Linked DNA regions of Schizosaccharomyces pombe. The main gene of each other region encodes a partner of the protein of the gene in region 2 in a complex. Each region holds a gene or a part of one and is shown on either strand. Other genes may lie near its edges. The genes, in order: pst2, cph1, cph2 and alp13. A codon is read from its position in the direction of its gene.

The links.
Region 1: the proteins of cph1 (region 2) and pst2 are in contact, whole or in part, in a cryo-EM structure (PDB 8IFG), measured with the Schizosaccharomyces pombe proteins. Residues at the interface, in NP_593079.1 of Schizosaccharomyces pombe: Glu344 (codon at 932), Leu347 (codon at 923), Ile348 (codon at 920), Asp350 (codon at 914), Phe351 (codon at 911), Leu352 (codon at 908), Ala354 (codon at 902), Ile355 (codon at 899), Glu358 (codon at 890), Ala359 (codon at 887), Phe362 (codon at 878), Asn363 (codon at 875); in NP_593646.1 of Schizosaccharomyces pombe: Ser257 (codon at 3,026), Phe261 (codon at 3,038), Lys265 (codon at 3,050), Tyr274 (codon at 3,077), Leu278 (codon at 3,089), Leu281 (codon at 3,098), Asn282 (codon at 3,101), Tyr284 (codon at 3,107), Val285 (codon at 3,110), Arg291 (codon at 3,128), Leu294 (codon at 3,137), Phe312 (codon at 3,191), Leu315 (codon at 3,200), Thr316 (codon at 3,203), Ser317 (codon at 3,206).
Region 3: the proteins of cph1 (region 2) and cph2 are in contact, whole or in part, in a cryo-EM structure (PDB 8I02), measured with the Schizosaccharomyces pombe proteins. Residues at the interface, in NP_593079.1 of Schizosaccharomyces pombe: Leu175 (codon at 1,439), Ser176 (codon at 1,436), Ile177 (codon at 1,433), Gln180 (codon at 1,424), Leu334 (codon at 962), Val336 (codon at 956), Ser337 (codon at 953), Cys338 (codon at 950), Leu339 (codon at 947), Tyr340 (codon at 944), Lys341 (codon at 941), Val342 (codon at 938), Glu344 (codon at 932), Gly346 (codon at 926), Lys349 (codon at 917), Asp350 (codon at 914), Tyr353 (codon at 905), Lys379 (codon at 827), Ser380 (codon at 824), Ala381 (codon at 821), Leu382 (codon at 818), Leu383 (codon at 815), Pro384 (codon at 812), Ala385 (codon at 809), Arg386 (codon at 806), Leu391 (codon at 791), Pro392 (codon at 788), Leu395 (codon at 779), Arg396 (codon at 776), Leu398 (codon at 770); in NP_592978.1 of Schizosaccharomyces pombe: Tyr464 (codon at 3,409), Arg465 (codon at 3,412), Leu466 (codon at 3,415), Pro467 (codon at 3,418), Ala470 (codon at 3,427), Lys471 (codon at 3,430), Val472 (codon at 3,433), Ile473 (codon at 3,436), Arg474 (codon at 3,439), Val475 (codon at 3,442), Gly476 (codon at 3,445), Leu477 (codon at 3,448), Pro478 (codon at 3,451), Arg479 (codon at 3,454), Gly480 (codon at 3,457), Phe481 (codon at 3,460), Lys484 (codon at 3,469), Asn486 (codon at 3,475), Ile487 (codon at 3,478), Val488 (codon at 3,481), Ile489 (codon at 3,484), Asp490 (codon at 3,487), Asp569 (codon at 3,724), Leu571 (codon at 3,730), Glu572 (codon at 3,733), Asp574 (codon at 3,739), Val577 (codon at 3,748), Leu578 (codon at 3,751), Ala579 (codon at 3,754), Leu580 (codon at 3,757).
Region 4: the proteins of cph1 (region 2) and alp13 are in contact, whole or in part, in a cryo-EM structure (PDB 8I02), measured with the Schizosaccharomyces pombe proteins. Residues at the interface, in NP_593079.1 of Schizosaccharomyces pombe: Cys123 (codon at 1,595), His140 (codon at 1,544), Ser142 (codon at 1,538), Cys143 (codon at 1,535), Leu144 (codon at 1,532), Glu145 (codon at 1,529), Pro147 (codon at 1,523), Leu148 (codon at 1,520), Thr149 (codon at 1,517), Glu151 (codon at 1,511), His173 (codon at 1,445), Ile177 (codon at 1,433), Trp178 (codon at 1,430), Gln180 (codon at 1,424), Leu181 (codon at 1,421), Tyr182 (codon at 1,418), Trp184 (codon at 1,412), Ile185 (codon at 1,409), Asn189 (codon at 1,397), Pro190 (codon at 1,394), Ser191 (codon at 1,391), Gln192 (codon at 1,388), Tyr193 (codon at 1,385), Leu195 (codon at 1,379), Pro196 (codon at 1,376), Leu199 (codon at 1,367), Val200 (codon at 1,364), Phe203 (codon at 1,355), Ile206 (codon at 1,346), Ser207 (codon at 1,343); in NP_593394.1 of Schizosaccharomyces pombe: Leu180 (codon at 2,186), Leu182 (codon at 2,192), Val183 (codon at 2,195), Trp186 (codon at 2,204), Glu187 (codon at 2,207), Thr190 (codon at 2,216), Lys191 (codon at 2,219), Asn221 (codon at 2,309), Glu222 (codon at 2,312), Ile223 (codon at 2,315), Val227 (codon at 2,327), Gln230 (codon at 2,336), Ala231 (codon at 2,339), Gly234 (codon at 2,348), Leu235 (codon at 2,351), Ile237 (codon at 2,357), Tyr238 (codon at 2,360), Lys241 (codon at 2,369), Cys242 (codon at 2,372), Gly244 (codon at 2,378), Asn245 (codon at 2,381), Met246 (codon at 2,384), Leu247 (codon at 2,387), Leu248 (codon at 2,390), Tyr249 (codon at 2,393), Arg250 (codon at 2,396), Arg253 (codon at 2,405), Gln254 (codon at 2,408), Tyr256 (codon at 2,414), Leu257 (codon at 2,417).

What each region holds. Positions count from the first base shown.
Region 1 is NC_003424.3:2,158,439-2,164,582, forward strand, and holds pst2 (Clr6 histone deacetylase complex subunit Pst2), read left to right. Parts: upstream 1-2,047; 5' UTR 2,048-2,133; coding exon 2,134-2,164; exon of another isoform or gene 2,165-2,210; coding exon 2,211-2,391; exon of another isoform or gene 2,392-2,469; coding exon 2,470-5,485; 3' UTR 5,486-5,640; downstream 5,641-6,144. Other genes in the region: ER zinc importer, CDF family, Zhf1, read left to right, coding at 374-1,537; Polo kinase Plo1, read left to right, coding at 5,802-6,144. UniProt on the Schizosaccharomyces pombe protein: Has a role in chromatin assembly and chromosome segregation. Involved in the deacetylation of histones.
Region 2 is NC_003424.3:797,519-801,510, reverse strand, and holds cph1 (Clr6 histone deacetylase-associated PHD protein-1 Cph1), read right to left. Parts: upstream 2,145-3,992; 5' UTR 1,962-2,144; coding exon 747-1,961; 3' UTR 530-746; downstream 1-529. Other genes in the region: ATP-dependent RNA helicase Upf1, read left to right, coding at 1-201; CCR4-Not complex subunit Mot2, read left to right, coding at 2,911-2,963, 3,014-3,193, 3,282-3,992.
Region 3 is NC_003424.3:543,576-548,259, reverse strand, and holds cph2 (Clr6 histone deacetylase-associated PHD protein-2 Cph2), read left to right. Parts: upstream 1-2,000; 5' UTR 2,001-2,019; coding exon 2,020-3,843; 3' UTR 3,844-4,133; downstream 4,134-4,684. Other genes in the region: SWI/SNF complex subunit Snf5, read left to right, coding at 1-1,596.
Region 4 is NC_003424.3:1,586,471-1,590,199, reverse strand, and holds alp13 (Clr6 histone deacetylase complex, chromodomain subunit Alp13/Eaf3), read left to right. Parts: upstream 1-1,622; 5' UTR 1,623-1,648; coding exon 1,649-2,577; intron 2,578-2,626; coding exon 2,627-2,711; 3' UTR 2,712-2,872; downstream 2,873-3,729. Other genes in the region: thi4 (bifunctional thiamine-phosphate dipyrophosphorylase/hydroxyethylthiazole kinase), read right to left, coding at 1-100; centromere localized protein Cnl2, read right to left, coding at 608-737, 809-1,245; SPOM_SPAC23H4.13C (uncharacterized protein), read right to left, coding at 2,873-3,256, 3,337-3,507; SPOM_SPAC23H4.21 (uncharacterized protein), read left to right, coding at 3,727-3,729.

The DNA.
Region 1 (6,144 bases), 1.4 Mb from region 2:
GACTAATAGTAGTCAACGTGTGATTTTATTTTTTCTTCACCGCTTACTTCTCAAAAGCCTCCTTTTTAATTTACTATCAAAAACGGCAGTTTTGGCAGTTTTTTGAAGGTTTATTGGTTTAATTAATTTATTCTGTAAAAACAAGGAAAGCAAAATTACAGATATTTGATTCTTTAGATTTTCTTAAACCCTCTCGCATCTTCGTCTTATTTTGGCTTTTTTTTTTGTTAAATATAGCAAGTTTGCGCCTCTTTTATTTAAATTCATTTTTAAAAAGCCACCTTTCATTCTAAATTTACCTTATTCCTTTTTCTCCCTGTGAAATTCAACCCTTACCATTTTTTTGAAATTGGTGACTTTTCGTTTTCAAACTATGTTCGACCTCGCAAGACAAACTCGGATTATCCTTTTATTAGGTATTGATGTTACTTTTTTCTTCATCGAAATTATTACTGGTTATGCGATCGATTCACTTGCCCTAATTGCTGATTCATTTCATATGTTAAATGACATTGTCAGTTTACTGGTCGCTCTCTGGGCTACTCGTCTAGCACATTCAACATCTCACGAACCAAAATACACATATGGCTGGCAACGTGCAGAGATTTTAGGTGCTTTGTCGAACGGTGTATTTCTCATTGCCCTTTGCATGTTCATTTTTATGGAAGCCATAGAGCGCTTCATTGAGCCTCCTTCTGTCAGCAATCCCACCCTTATGTTCTTTGTTGGTTCTTTAGGTCTGCTAAGCAATTTCGTTGGTATCTTTTTATTTCATGACCATGGTCATGATCATCCTCACACCCATACCGCTCAAAATTACGATTTTCCTGAAGAAGATGATATTGAATCCGTTTTACCTTCGACTATCGTTCATCGTTGTAATACCAGTCAACAAGAAGTCAGCCATACACACACTCAAGTCGCAGACTCTGCTACCGAATCTTCTCCTTTATTGAGTTACACTGGTAATCATAATGGTGCTGGTACTTCAAAGCCAGTCAACAACCATGGCAGTATTGAACAAGATGCACCAAAACAAACGAAGAAACGAAATTTGAATATGCATGGTGTCTTTCTTCATGTCTTGGGTGATGCTCTCGGTAATATTGGTGTTATTAGTGCTGCTTTATTCATCAAGTATACTGACTATTCTTGGCGTTTCCTCTTTGACCCATGCATTAGTATCCTTCTTACTTTCATTATTCTTTTTAGCGCAATTCCTCTCTGTAAATCCGCTGCTCTCATCTTATTACAAGTTGCTCCTCAAAGCATCAAACTGGATGATGTTTCCAACCTAATTAATCATCTAGACGGCGTGGAATCTGTTCATGAACTCCACATCTGGCAGCTTTCGGACGTTAAATTAATTGCCACTGTTCATGTCTGCGTTACACTTCCTGATGATAAGGGAGAGTCTTATACAAAGCTTACTACGGATATCCGTAATGTCCTTCAATCTTTTGGTATATATGATGTTACCATTCAACCAGAATTCGCCAATCATCCGCTTTTATGTGACCAAGGTTCCTCGTCTTAGTTTGCGAACATTATAAATTTAACGTGGTTAATCTATTGTGTCACATCTTTTGATTTATTCTTGAGGTAAAATTTTATATTGAATGTTTACTTTGTTTCATTTTTAAAGCGTAATTTCTTCTGCCATTCCTGTTCGTATTTAAAAACTTTATTTCACCATCTTGGTTGTTTGTTTTGCGAATGCACTTAAGTAAAGTAGTCGACAACTTAACTTTGAAAGTAGATAGTTTTCGATTTCTTATTCTTGATGAAGACGATGCATAGTTTCGGTTTTATTAAATCTCTATTATTCTTAGAAAATAATGTTTAGATGTAGTGTTTAATTATTTAAAAGGAATATTTTTTAACAATTATATTGGGTTTGATTCTTCTCGTTAGTATTTTTTCTAAAGTATTCGTTGTAAGTGTAAAACACCATCCAATGTGGTATTTGTGTTCATGTCTTGATAAATCATTTGAACTTTGGCTATCAGCGTCAGTTCATGTAATGCGTTGACGAGTTTGTGCGCTTAGTTGCATTTGCCGTTTCCCAAATCATCACCTCCAAAATAAACGAGATCGTATTCCTAGTCATTTGATGGTTAAAGATCAAAATACATGGAACAAACACTAGCGATATTAAAAAATGGTACGTATCAATTTAATACATAACTCATTTTAACCAATGTTGTTAGACAACTCAACGTTAGTGGCCGAGATGCAGAATCAATTAGTCCATGATTTTTCCCCTAATGGTACCGCACTCCCCGAGCTTGATATAAAGGCATTCGTTCAAAAGTTGGGTCAAAGACTGTGTCATCGTCCTTATGTTTATAGCGCTTTCATGGATGTTGTGAAGGCTTTACACAATGAAATGTATATATGGCTTATTTACTGAGTTGCTTTGAGATAGCTCTTTTTTTATTACTATTCACTTATTAACATGAACATTAGTGTCGATTTTCCCGGGTTTATTGAAAGAATATCTGTAATCTTAAGAGATTACCCAGATCTTTTAGAATATTTGAACATCTTTTTGCCCTCGTCTTATAAATACCTTTTATCGAATAGCGGTGCCAACTTCACATTGCAATTTACCACCCCATCTGGTCCAGTTTCTACACCGTCTACTTATGTAGCTACTTACAACGACTTACCTTGTACCTATCATAGAGCTATAGGATTTGTTTCACGAGTTCGACGAGCATTATTGAGCAATCCCGAACAGTTCTTTAAATTACAGGATAGTCTTCGTAAGTTTAAAAACTCTGAGTGTTCGCTTTCTGAGCTTCAGACTATTGTAACGTCTTTGCTAGCGGAGCATCCATCTTTAGCCCACGAGTTTCACAACTTTTTACCAAGCTCCATCTTTTTTGGGAGTAAACCTCCTCTAGGATCGTTTCCATTAAGAGGAATTCAGAGTTCCCAATTTACGTTGAGTAATATTTCTGATTTGCTTAGTCAATCAAGGCCGGACAACCTCTCACCATTTTCACATTTATCAAATGAGAGCAGTGACTTTTTCAAAAATGTGAAAAATGTACTTACCGATGTAGAAACTTACCACGAATTTTTAAAACTCCTGAATTTGTACGTTCAAGGGATAATTGATAGAAATATTCTGGTGAGTCGTGGGTTTGGGTTTCTTAAATCGAATTCGGGACTTTGGAGAAGCTTTTTAAGCCTTACTAGTTTGAGTCCGGAAGAGTTTTTATCTGTATACAATTCCGCTTGCTCAGACTTCCCGGAATGTGGCCCGAGTTACCGATTGCTTCCTGTCGAAGAACGCAATATTTCTTGCAGCGGTAGAGATGATTTTGCATGGGGTATACTTAATGATGACTGGGTCAGTCATCCAACTTGGGCATCTGAAGAAAGCGGTTTCATTGTTCAGAGGAAAACGCCTTATGAAGAGGCAATGACAAAGTTGGAAGAGGAACGTTATGAATTTGATCGGCATATTGAAGCTACTTCCTGGACAATCAAGTCTCTTAAAAAAATTCAGAACCGTATAAATGAATTGCCGGAAGAGGAAAGAGAAACATATACTCTCGAGGAAGGGCTAGGTTTACCATCAAAAAGTATATACAAGAAAACTATTAAGCTTGTTTATACCAGTGAGCATGCAGAGGAAATGTTTAAGGCCTTGGAAAGAATGCCTTGCCTCACATTACCATTGGTAATCAGCAGATTAGAAGAAAAAAACGAAGAGTGGAAGTCTGTTAAAAGAAGTCTTCAACCTGGATGGCGAAGTATTGAGTTTAAAAATTACGATAAGAGCTTAGATTCACAATGCGTTTATTTTAAGGCAAGAGATAAGAAGAATGTATCTTCAAAGTTTCTCTTAGCAGAAGCCGACATTCTACGATCGCAAGCGAAGCTCCATTTTCCTTTGCGAAGTAGATCAGCTTTCGAATTTTCTTTTGTATATGACAACGAAATAGTACTTTTTGATACTTGTTATATGGTATGCACATACATTGTATGTAACTCTCCCTCTGGTTTAAAGAAAGTTGAGCATTTTTTCAAGAATATATTGCCTTTACATTTTGGTCTTGAAAAGGATAAATTTTCGATATTCCTGGATCAAGTTTTTCGTGGTCCTGATTACGATGTGAATGCCCCGAATATAGTTGGTAACAAGCCTGTACGTCGGAAAAGATCTAATTCTATAACCCAGTTGACGGAATTTGTAAAACAACCTAAAATCAATGGTCAACGCGAAAGTCGTTCAGCTGCAGCTGCTCGCAAAAAAGAAGAATCCGGTAACAAATCACAATCTAACTCTCAAAACTCTTTAAGTGATGAATCTGGAAACGTAACGCCGGTTTCTAAGAAACAGCTTTCACAACCTGCTGCAGCCATTAAAGCCAGTCTCAAATATCCAAGTCATCCAGATAGTCTTTTGGAACATCAAGATCATGCTGGTGATACGGAGAATGAAATGCATGACGACGTCGATAAAGAACAGTTTGGATATTCTTCTATGTACGTATTTTTTAGACTTTTTAACTTATTATACGAAAGGCTTTATGAGCTTCAGCGTTTGGAGGATCAAGTGTCCATTATCCAACAGCGTATAATACCAAACCCAGTATCTCAAAAACAAAAGATTTGGCGCGATAGGTGGAATGATCTTTCAGATGTCCCTGATGAAAAAACTCATTACGAAAATACTTATGTGATGATTCTTCGATTAATATATGGGATAGTTGATCAAAGTGCCTTCGAGGACTATCTGCGGTTTTATTATGGCAATAAAGCCTATAAAATATATACTATTGATAAACTCGTTTGGTCTGCTGCTAAACAAGTCCACCACATCGTTTCCGATGGAAAATACAAATTCGTTACTAGTTTAGTCGAACAAAATAGTTCTGCTTCGCCTAAGAAGAATTATGATGACTTTCTTTATCGCTTGGAAATTGAAAAGCTTTTGAATCCTGATGAAATTTTGTTTCGATTTTGTTGGATAAACAAATTTAAATCATTTGGAATCAAAATAATGAAGCGAGCGAATCTTATTGTGGATCAAAGTTTGGATACACAGAGACGAGTTTGGAAAAAATATGTTCAAAATTATCGTATACAAAAACTTACTGAAGAAATATCTTATAAAAATTATCGTTGTCCCTTTCTTTGCAGAAATATAGAGAAAGAAAGAACAGTTGAGCAATTGGTTTCACGCCTTCAAACAAAGTTATTAAGATCTGCAGAATTGGTTTCCGGATTGCAAGCAAAATTATGTTTAGACTCGTTTAAATTGCTCTACTTACCACGCACAGAAGATTCTTACATAGATGCATCTTACCTGCGCCTTAGAGATACCGACTTCCTTGATTGCCAGAATAAAAGAAAACAGCGTTGGAGAAATCGATGGGAATCGTTATTAAAATCGGTTAGGGGAACTTCTGACAACACGGCAGAGGTGAATTTTGATGCTGACATTAATGCACTATTTATCCCATAATGATTTTAATGCAGTCGACCTACCTATTGATCATATTTACTTAAATACAATTTGACTTTAATAGTTTTATATTACTTTGTTAACATAACTTATCTTTCTAGGTATTTTATAATTTCAAGGATTTATGTATAGTACGAATTTACTGAAATTTTTGCACATAAGCTTTGTATTAAATTTTCTAAAGCCGTACTTCTGTAATTACTACATAAAATATTACAATGCACAGATTTTTATTTACAAACAAGCGGTTGTCGTAGCAACCACTTTGTTTACCCTCAAAAGTTACCACCTGCGTTTTGTTAGAAACAAATACCAAATGGCGAGTGTTGCAATTAAAGAGCCCAAAACTGCTATAACCCCGAAGAAGAAGTCCAAAGCCTCTCGTCTTTGCTTTACTCCGCCAACTAATCTTCATAATAATAAAAAAAATATATTCTACACTCGCTACGATTGCATTGGTGAAGGCGGCTTTGCGAGATGTTTTCGAGTCAAAGATAATTATGGAAATATTTACGCTGCTAAAGTTATTGCTAAAAGGTCACTACAAAATGATAAAACAAAGCTGAAGCTCTTTGGAGAAATAAAGGTGCACCAATCCATGAGTCATCCAAACATCGTAGGATTTATAGATTGTTTTGAAGATTCGACGAATATTTACT
Region 2 (3,992 bases):
CTATCTCCTATACAGAATGCCGGTTCTGCCATGTTACCTTCGTTTTCTAATCTTCCGAACTTATACTCTTCCTCGTATCTTGAAGAATGGAATGTCTTTGCTCAATACAAACGAAGAGAAAGCAACGCTACCGACTTTGAAGACTTTAGAAGTCAGGTTGGTGATGATGAAAGCAAGTTCGACGAACCTACTAGGTTCTAGTTAATAAGTATTTGCTTACTTGTAATTACGAATGCCAACATATCTTTTATTTGTTGATATTTTTGGTGTTCAAGTTTTATGGACCGTTTGGTCTGTAAGCGTTTTAAACCATTGATATGGCTGTTAAATAGACTTTAGTAATAGAACCTTTCCTTATCACTTTCTTTTATTTTATTCCTCTTTGTCTAGTAAATGCATCTTACTCATATATACTTATATATACTTATATATACTTATATATACTCACACGGTACAATACGCGTATAAAATTTAAGTATTGAGAAGTTGTTAGTATAAAATAGAACTTTTGCCCTATTAGGAAGGATTTGCAATGATTAATTGCATAACGAAAATTTTTTAAAAGCCTTAATGGAGAAAAGTAATGTAAAATAAGCCAATTACAACAGATAGCCAGTTCTAAGAGGTTTTATAAATACAACATTAGCAAAAAAATAACAGAAAACAACCTTTTCTGACGATTTGAACACGACAGATTAGATTAACGTAGTCTGATTTTATACAAAATGTAAAAATATCGTAAAAATTCAAGTGCGTGCCTTATTGAATAAAGTGCGTAGTGCAATAGGTAGGTTTGGGTGCGTTCTCGCAGGAAGTAGTGCGCTTTTTACGTCTGGAGGAATAACCTCTAACTCTCGTTTTTTCCTTTCATTATTAAACTTTTTAGCTTCTATGCCAATCGCGTACAAAAAATCTTTGATGAGACCGTCTTCTGAAACTTTGTAGAGACAACTCACGGGTAATCTTGGGAAATAGAGAAGTTCATCACTTGGAAACTCTCCCATAAGAAATTGCCATCCTGAAATCATGACTTTAGGATTAAGAGTATTAGAAGTTGTATCCAACACCAAGGGCGTCCTTATCACCACGGCGTTTTTTGGTACTCTCATACCTTTTTTTCCAATGGAGTCATGAGAGCATTTTTTAGCATGCTCTTTACAATTTTTATGATAGAAGGTGTCACACAGCTGGCAACCATAGACCCAACAAGCACCCATTGATGGCTTAGAGCAATAACCACAGTAAGCTAGATTAGTGATAGAGGAGCCAGTCGGCAAAGCAGAAAACTCGTCAGTATCCATTTCTCCTTCAGTTTCCTTATAAGCACCTGTATCCCCACGAGATATTCCATGGAAATAATGCACAAGGTCGTCGGGCAATCGGTACTGCGAGGGATTCTGAGAATCAATCCAATCGTAAAGCTGGGACCATATACTAAGAGGGTGCTTAGGAGGGTGATGCGATTTGATTGAGCAAGTCACACAAAACCAAGATCCTTCTGGAATATTTTCAGGAGTCAAGGGAGGTTCCAAGCATGAAAGATGGAAACTGCAAGGACATCCCTCGCAACAAATAAAAAGACCTCTTCCTCCGCATGCACTACAATAGTCGACGTTGCGTATAGTCGCTTTTCGTCTCCGTCGCTTTACAGGAGTTTGTTGAGATTCGGTTTCGAGATGACTTTTTAGGGAACTACCCCGGCTTTTTTGAATAGGTGCTTTATTTGGAGATTTATTCGAATAACTAGCTTTTTGTTTTTTCACTGGAGAACTTATATCCATCTCTTTGTCTTGGCTAATTGGCAAGACATTTACATGGTCAGTTGAAGAGTGAGTTGATGATGTTAAAGAATTATTTTTAAAATTAGAAGGGGGACCTTCATTTACGAAAGAGTCGCCATGACTATTATTAGAAATTGAAGGTACTGTAGGTTGAGATGAATTGTTTATAGAGGATGCCATTAGATACTTCCCATGCTATGAGCAAAGCAACATGTAATACGCGACGGTTAGCACTTAGAAATATCAATACTATCCTTAATGTTTTAAGGAATATTAAAGGTAAAATTAATGGTTATCGTAAAAAAGAACAATGGTCGAGGTTGTAAGTATATTATAGTGAAGCAACGCTGTTATGAAGATGCTAAGTTACAACAAGTCTTTGAACGCCAAACGTCGTTGCAATTAGACTTAGAAAACTACTTAAAGATATCTGATTTTCGAGAGGAGCATTTAGTATAAATGATTATCATAAGAATAAATTCCCTTCTATATGTAAAATATTTGAACATTTTGTTAAAAACTATTATCCATTTGATGGAACATGGAGCGTAAATTAAGTAGAGAAGCACTTTATGCCTCTTATTATGTTGTTCATCGTTTTTTCGTCAATTCAATATATTCACTAATTACTTAGAAGATGAAATAACTAAAGAATTTGACCACAACGTGAAAAAGTTGTATATATAATACATTCGTTTACAAACGTTTACTGCAATTAATTATCAAGATGAAATTATAGACGGTGAAACTTTTAAGGGTACTTTTTGTTGTTCAAACACAATTCCAAAAACCTTTGGAATAAGAATTTTCTCAAATTTCTTAATTCATGTCTATTAATTGCTATTTTTCGTGTGGTATATACTGTTCAAATCCAACCTCTCACCTAGTCATTGCCTCCTTCTTTTACACTAAGTTGTAAGTAAACTTATAACCAACCACAACTCGGTTTGCCCTTTAAAAAATATTTGTTTGAAGTCTAATGAATATTAAGGGAATTAACTAAATTAAATTAAAATCAAAGATTTGATTTAAGATATTTGAAGACTTCCTCTGTATTGTATAACGAGCGACCTTAAACAGTATCGATTTGGAGAGCACTGTGACGGAGATTTGACATATTTCACACAAAATGTTAAAAACGCAAGAGATATATTCTTCAGAAGATGAGGATGACATGTGTTGGTATGTTTTACTAGCCGATTAGTATCAAAATTAACTGACAATTGCAACAGTCCTCTATGTATGGAAGAAATTGATATCTCTGATAAAAACTTCAAACCATGCCAATGCGGATACAGAGTTTGTAGATTTTGCTGGCACCATATCAAAGAAGATCTAAATGGCCGTTGTCCTGCATGTCGCCGTCTGTACACTGAAGAAAATGTTCAATGGCGGCCTGTCACGGCAGAGGAGTATGTAATTCAGATTATAGAATTCTTGTTTAAGCATAATCTTGTTTAAATTCACTTTTATTTTTAAACATGTCGCTAATGTTTTTAGATGGAAGATGGACTTACATCGAAAAAACGAGAGGAAGAAACGCGAGAAAGAGAGGAAGGAAGTCGAGCTTTCAAACAGGAAGCATCTTGCAAATATTCGTGTTGTACAAAAGAACCTTGCCTATGTAAACGGCCTTTCTCCCAAAGTTGCAAATGAGGAGAATATCAACGTTCTGAAGGGACCTGAATACTTTGGTCAATACGGAAAGATTATTAAAATTGCAATAAATAAGAAGGCTGCTGCAAATTCTGCAAATGGTCATGTTGGAGTTTATATTACATACCAAAGAAAAGAAGATGCTGCACGAGCGATTGCTGCAATTGATGGCAGCGTAAGTGATGGGCGACATCTTCGCGCATCTTATGGTACCACTAAATATTGCACTTCTTATTTACGGAATCAGCAATGCCCCAATCCTTCTTGCATGTATTTACATGAACCCGGTGACGAGGTGGATAGTTATACTAAAGAAGACTTGGCATCTCTTCAACATACCCGTCCTCTTTCCACTAAACCTAATGTGGTAAATGGTGCTACTCATTCTCCTTCTCCTTCTCTTCCATTCAAAACACCTCTACTTCCTGTTACGAAAACACCGTTAGAAGAGGCTAATAGTAGTCCAGCTGCACAAAATCAGCATATTACAACAGTTGATCATGTTCATCCACAAGTGTCAATGACACCTTCCTTATCCACTAATAACACTGCTAC
Region 3 (4,684 bases), 250 kb from region 2:
TGGACCGCTTTGAAACCCAAAATACTATTTCCATCGCAAAAAAGAAGGGTTAAGGGTCGATTTACTTTCCCTTTCAGTCGAAGAAGTAATTTAGCCCAATCTAAACTTCCGGTTGATTTGGTGCCTATTAGACTTGAAATAGATGCTGATCGCTACAAATTAAGAGACTCCTTTACGTGGAATTTGTACGACAAGTGTATTTCATTAGATCAATTTGCTGAACAGATCTGCATTGATTATGATATTCCACTGCATAATGTACATATTGTTCAAAATATTTCAAAGAGTATTCAAGCTCAAATAAATGACTATGAGCCGCGTAAGGCTCAGTCTAATTTAAGTTTTGTTTCAGATGTTAGTTCGTCTACCTCAGAGACTGTTTATGCGCACGAACCGTCAGATTCGTTGGCTAAAGCTTCCAAGCAACAAATTCCAACTGTACAAAACGATTTGAGGATATTGATCAAGCTTGATATTACCATTGGTCGGCTGAATCTTATTGACCAATTTGAATGGAATTTGTTTGCTCCTGAAAGCAGCGCTGAGGAATTTGCTACTGTGATGTGCTTAGATCTAGGATTGTCAGGAGAATTTTGTACAGCTGTAGCTCACTCAATTCGTGAGCAGTGCCAAATGTACATAAAATATTTAAGCCTTATAGGATATTTGTTTGACGGAAGTGAAATCGAAGACGAGGAAGTTCGCTCTTACATTTTACCTCCTCTTAAAAACACACTACGGTTCTCTGACATGGAATCCTCCTCCTTTGCCCCAATGATTTACGAGCTAAACGATGCTGAAATGGAACGGCAGGATAGAGGTTATGATAGGGAAGCACGTCGTATGCGGCGTAGACAAGGAAGGGCAAAACACGGGATTATGTTACCAGATCTTCGGGACATTCCTAAAATACATCGAAGTCTCTTCCCCAGTTCATCGGTCCCCTCGGATGATGACTTTATGCATGCTTTAAGTTTATCTACAAATTCTGATGGCGAGACACTTAACGAAATTAATACTAATAATCCTGAAAGAGAACATTTAATTGTGCGTCTAAAAGTTGACTCTCAGAAACTAAAAATAATCGTTGAACAATCACAAACCTTAACCCTCAATAACTTCCAACAACGGAAACTCACTCCCTTGCCCAATTCCATGAGTTTTGACTCACTAAACGAATTTGAAAGTGAAAGGAACACACCTTCTACATATGGGCAAAATATTTCGCCATTACCACAATTTTCGTCTCCTAGCCTTTCTTCTGACGCGTTTCTTACTAACAGCAATTCTTCTGAATCCGCTTTGGTTCATATGCAAAAGTTAAATTTACCTGATTTTACCCCTTCCTGGGTTAAACGATGTGTTATAGAGACATTTGCAAAATTTCCGAATGATCGATTTAATGTTATCGTAAAACCTGCTTTAAATCCTGCTGAAAGGATGACTGTGAGAATATGTTGTCATGATTGCATTAATGAGTATTTTACAGCCGGCCCAGGATTCACGTTTGGCAATTTCCATATCCACTTGTTGTCAAGCTCGCATCAACAAAAAAAGGAGGTGAGAATGAATACGGTTTTGGATAGAAATACTTAATACAATTTTGGAAGAATCTTTATCAAAGACCATAATCAAGATTTGACTCACGTTATGGATAGCTCGACGGACCAGTTTCTTTCAGTTGATAGCTTCTGTTACAAATGAGGCACTCTATCCTCAATACGATTAATTTATTAAATTTGAGGAAATACACTGTATATTATTCAAAGGCTTATTAATCCTTAATGTTCAGTCATGTGGCTAAATTTAAAGTATGTACGGGTAACCGATGAATCAAATTACTTTACAGCCTTCATTTCAGTTTTTGGAAATTATAATATTTTTGATATTTAAACAAAATAACTAACAAATCTTTCTTTTCGGTTTATAGCAGTCTTTCCTTGTTTCTCGTTAAATTCATCTTTGCTAGCATAAATCTTCATTGTATGTTCACACTACACGACGTCCACGTTTTCATCAATGGATGCAAAACCATGGAATCATACATCAGAAGCCTTTCAAGCTTCTATTTTGGAAGATCTTAAAATTATTCAAAAAGCCGGTGCTGAAAGGAATGCAAAGAGTTCGCATGGGTCAATAAATTCCAGGAGCGCTTCACCGAATAAAGCGACCTCGAGAAGAAATAGGGCCCAAAACGGCAACTCTAATGGTAGAGCCTCAGTTGATAACTCTGACGATGGAAGCAAGGATGATTTAGATTATTCTCCTTCTGTTAAGAGAAAGCATGTGAATGGTGAAGGTGCAGAAAAAGGTGATCATGATACATCTAACAACGGACCTAGTATTACTAAGTTAAGAAGAAAAGTTAGGAGAACCTATGATACTAAGGATGGATTTGTGGCTTGGAATACATTGGATGATGACTTTCGTCCTATAGTACCCGATCAAGAGAGATCACGAAAAATCAACCCCCAGAAAGGAAATAATAATAATCTCCTTAAAGAGAATAAGTCTCTAAAAACAACGGCTAAAGACTTATCTGATATCTCTAGTTCATCGATGAAGAAAGCGAATAACTCTTCCAAACCTCTTTTTTCTGGGAAGCTAACTTTCAAGGCTAACATTCCTGTTCCTACCTCTGAGGTCGTAACGGAGAATAATGTTACACGAAATGTTACCGTGTATTCCAACCAAAAACATTTAGGTAATGAATCAGAGAATTTTAACGACATGGAGGGCCGGGCCGAAGACATTAGTAGCAATGAATTACTTCCTACCCCTGAAGAATATCCATACAGATATAACAATGATTACTGCTCCGCATGTCATGGTCCAGGCAATTTTTTGTGTTGTGAAACATGCCCGAATAGTTTTCATTTTACTTGTATAGATCCGCCTATCGAAGAAAAAAATTTACCAGATGACGCTTGGTATTGCAATGAATGTAAACACCATAGCTTGTACAATGAATTGGATGAGCAAGAAGAATTGGAAAGTAATGTCAAAGAAGAAGGAACGATGGTTGATGTGTGGATGCAACTTTGTACATATATTGATTCTCACAATCCTATTCAGTTTCATCTTCCTCATTCAATTAGCAGCTTTTTTAGAGGTGTCGGAAGTGGAGTGATGGGTGAATATATCGAGACGGATGTTTTGAAGCATCTTAAATCTAGCCGAAGAAGCAATGGAGAAGAACGTGATCCTTTGCTTTTGAAGAGTAAAAGTGGTACTCCCATTTTATGTTTTCGTTGTCATAAATCGGCTCTGGTCTCTCAGAGTATACTAGCTTGCGATTATTGTAACTCCTACTGGCATCCCGATTGTTTAAATCCTCCACTCGCAACTTTGCCTTCGAATCTCCGGAAGTGGAAATGTCCTAACCATAGCGATCATGTCACGCCTCGGTATAGGTTACCTGAAAAAGCAAAGGTTATTCGTGTCGGTTTACCTCGTGGTTTCAAAAATAAAGGAAATATAGTTATTGATGAAAATGAGGATGAACCATCTGTGCAAACAATACAACTACAGGGAAAAATACGTGTGGTACCTAGTAAACCGTTTAAGTTGAACTTTTTAGAACAAATACGTGATAACGTTATTAATTTACGTAAAATGGTTGAGCAGGATGAACAACTATGTATTGAAACCTTTTCCAAATTTGACTTTTATGCAACCCGTGATTGTGAATTGCCTTTGCGAATCCTTTGCGATGTTGCCAATGACAACTTAGAAAATGATGATTATGTTTTGGCTTTAAGGGATCTTTTGAGAATTTCTAAATGGGATCCTAATCAACCCGTTCCTGCACCTTTTGATTTGGCTAACTTATTAAGCTATTGAAAGATAGCATAGCACCTCGATTCTTTCAAGTGCGGTGTCTTCGACGTTGAAATGTCTTAATATTTATGCCTATCTAACCATGAATGATACGATTTCATATATGAATGGTTTTATTTTTTTTCTTTATTTTTGGTATTGCGAAGGTGCTTCCAATTAGTGAATTGTGATCGAAGTGTGGTATTCAAAAAGTCTCCTTGGGAAAGGTGCAGGCATTTTTCCTTAATTGTAAATTTAATTAAGTTGTATATGCAATTATGCTGTGCAACAAATACTTTAACTTATAGTTGAACTGCAAAATTAAGAAAAGTTACGTTACAAAATGGAGTACAGAAATAAGCCAAATTTTATCACGTTTAATTATTCTTATTTGAATGCTTTAACGTGTAGTATTTTTGTATATTGAATTATTAGTTTCACCGTAGAACTGTTGATACAACTAAAGAATTCTTTGGGATAAGTTGAATTACAAGCAAATGATTGCGATAAACTGGATAGAATGCAAAGCGATTTGCAATAGTACTTAAACAATAGCACAGAAATAATAAAGAAACTGTATGATAGTGTAATTTCAAAAGTAGTTTGCTTACGTATTATTAACATTTTTTTTATTCCTTTTAATGTGTCATTATTAGCACATAAGGAAAAGTTGCATTGCTCTAAAATAAAATTACCTTAAAACATGTCGGTTTCATCATCATGTCTATCATTGCTTTGTAACTTAGTAGATGCTTTATTGTGCCTTTAGCTTGTTTTTATTTTCCATATTAGTTTGTTCTAAGAATTGGGTAACCTCGAAATTTATTACAAGGTCAATTAATAGGCAATACGTTTTTTGTTCCCT
Region 4 (3,729 bases), 790 kb from region 2:
CCAAAATTCCCTCTTCCACCTGACGTTCTATAGTAGAACCTGGGGCAATTAAACTAGAGCTAGTTACAAGGTATAAAGAATAGTCAATTTGACGTTTCATGTTTGGTATAAAAGTTCTTATATAGAAGTCAAGTAAGTAAACAAAATCCTAGAAATGCCAGATTATGTTGCGGACACCAAAAATTTGACAGTTCAATCTTTCTATGCTAAGAAAAATGAAAATTGAATATTATCCTAATTTAATCAAGAATTTGGCGAAAGTGTTACAAACTATGTTTGCAAATTTTGCTCCATCTTTTATACTGTGTTAGTCATGGTTCGGATGCGTGCTACGACAAGTTAGTGATAACTGATTTTAATCACTCTATTAAAATGTAGTTTGTCAAATGGAACAAATACTGCATGCTTTTGAAGAAAATATATTCGCATTACTTTGAACAGGTTTTAATGAAATGAGTTTATAAAGGAACAGATATATCTTATTAAAAAGGTGCAGAATAACGTTATATTTAATTATTAAAAAGAAAAAAAAATTCATTCATTGTAATAAATACCCGTTAAAGCTATATTATTGAATAAATATGGAACAGCTTAACGTTTGAAGGTCCTAGTCTAATTCTTCTATTGCAGAAGGTGCTGCCTTTTCTAAACTTTCAATTAAAGATTCTACAAGATGAATTGACTCGTCAACGTTTGGCTCTTTTGACCATTGAAAATCGCTAAGGGATGCAATCTGACTAGAAAGAAATTATTAGCAAGCTAAATAAAGCTCAATTAAAACAACCCAAATTCCTAATCAACCTCATACCTATTCATTTTAAGAGTCAATTGTGTGCAGCGCTCTTTTTCCTCATTTAATTTTGTATAAGCAGATTGCACAGCTTCAGAAAGCCGCTCATTGATTTCACTTATGTCCAGCGGTTTTGCACTATGTGATGTGTAAAATTCTTCTACATCGTGCAATGTAGAGGCATGACTGACCGTTTGCAGTTTCTCAACATTTGTTGCCAACATCCTATCTATTCTGCTTTTGCCGATAACTTGACTCTCGAGATGGATGTTAGCTCTCAATTTTGCTAATCGCTTTTGTCTTTGTTGTGTACAGTATTCGTATAAACGCTCAATCAGTGGGTCTTCTCTGTATCTCTGAGGAAACAGTTGCCGCCATTGTTCTAAGCTTATAATAGACTGCAACCGCCCTTGAGAAAGAAGATAATCATTAAGTATTTGTTCCTCCATATTCATGAGCAACCTTTGAGATATTAGTAAATTGAATAAATGAAACGCAGCATTTGATGAAAACTCATGTAGAAAAGCTAATTTTTCCTAAAGTATCCTTTTGACTAAAGCATTTTTTATAATGCGTATTGGGACGTATTTGCTGAACATAATGAAAGTTTATTTTTAATTTATCATTAAAAATCCTAAAACAGTAACTTACTGATAGCACTTTCTCCAAGCATTTTGCAGATGAATGAATTTGTTGCTTAGATAGTATCCTGTTACACCCACCGTTTGTTAATGGGTCTAGATAATTTTTAAAACAAAATAGCTAACTCCTTCAAAGTAGGATAAATTTGCTAAGTGTACTGTTTTGGCACACGTCCTCTTACTTCTAACTCACCACCATACCTACAACGTTGTTGGAATGGCCGTGTCATATAAGGTGAATGAACGTGTACTATGCTTTCACGGCCCGTTACTCTATGAGGCTAAAATTGTTGATACTGAAATGAAAGGTGATGTTACCACGTACCTGATTCATTATAAAGGATGGAAAAACAGTTGGGATGAATGGGTTGAACAAGATAGGATACTACAATGGACAGAAGAAAATTTAAAGACTCAGAAAGAGTTAAAAAATGCCGCTATCTCTACGAGACAAAAACCGACTTCTAAAAAGTCCGCATCCAGCACTTCGAAACATGACTCAACTGGAGTTAAAACATCAGGAAAGAGGTCTCGAGAATCGAGCACCGTAACGGTTGATGGCGATTCACATGAATTGCCTTCACGTATAAAAACCCAAAAATCAGAGTCTCCAATTCCTCAACAAGTGAAACGCGATGGAACAACCGATGCTAAAAACGAGGAAACTACTAAGCCCGAGAATAACGAGAAAGACGATTTTGAGGAAGAGCCACCGCTTCCAAAACACAAGATTAGTGTCCCGGACGTTCTAAAGCTATGGCTTGTTGATGACTGGGAAAACATTACCAAAAATCAACAGTTAATAGCTATACCGCGGAATCCCACCGTCCGGGCTGCTATAGCGGCCTTCCGAGAATCCAAGATTTCTCATTTGAACAATGAAATAGACGTTGATGTTTTTGAACAAGCGATGGCTGGTTTGGTTATATACTTTAATAAGTGCTTGGGCAATATGCTGCTGTATCGGTTTGAACGGCAGCAATATTTAGAAATTCGGCAGCAATATCCTGATACTGAAATGTGTGATTTATATGGCGTCGAACATTTAATTCGCTTGTTTGTAAGCCTTCCTGAATTGATTGACCGGACTAATATGGATTCACAATCCATCGAGTGTTTGTTGAATTACATTGAAGAATTCTTGAAGTATGTTTACTGCTTTTAAACTCCCCTACTATACTAACCATTTATTTAGGTATCTCGTTCTACATAAAGATGAATATTTTATTAAAGAATATCAAAACGCCCCTCCAAACTATAGATCTTTGGTTGGTGTATAAAATTATGATCGTTTGCATCTATCCCAAAGATAACTAAAACGGTAATCTAAAATATATACGTTTTCTTTTTGAGATATAATACACTATTATCTATAGAATGCAGTAGGACCAACATAAGGCATTCAGAGAATTCATGCAATTATTATGTTGTTCCTTAATATTCAGATATTAATCATTTTGCTCTTCAAAGAGACAATTTGCTTCTGCAAATTGCCAATTGGAGTATCAAATTCTAAAGATCCAGAAATTTGACTTCCAAACTGATAAAGTTCTGCATTTACGACACCTTTCATTGCCTGGATGCTCAGGTCTAACGAACTTTCTGCCGGGATACACTGCTGCTCCTGTTCAGTTATATTGGCAACTCTTCTCAATTTTTCTTTAATACAACTCCATTTTTCTATTGTTTTTAAAATTTTTTTATCGTCAACCCGATGTTGTAATGTATCAGTCCGCTTATTGAATCCATCCATAAAATTGTAATAAAGCTTTATGAGTGCCCGTCTAAGGGCCAATGTGTATAACCATTGAGGACGTATGTAATACTAGAATTTGGTGAGTTGGACGTAAATAAGAACCAGTAAATATAAAAACTAACCACAACTTGCTAAGAATGTGTACTTACTTTTGTAATAACGAAAGTCGAGAGACCACTGATAGAAAAAGTATATAATATGTAAATTAAGAAGGACAATAAGCTGGACGAAACTTGTATATTATCTGGAAAAGCTTTAACAGGCGGATTTTCTTTAGGAAGCAAAGGACTTTTGCTTTGAACAGCACTGTTCGAACTCATTTTTAGAATGATCGAAAATTTTGCACTAGTGAAAATATGGATATCAAACCAGTTGAAGAAGAAAATGATAAGCGTAAAAAAGATGGTTAAGCATATAGTGTTGCGGAATAAGTAGTTTGATTGTTCGAAATTAATACGAAGCAGTAAAAAGCAACTTTGCAAAATTAACAGAACAAATGAAATGAATAAGTTTGTTATATCTAACGGATTGTTATTAAAATG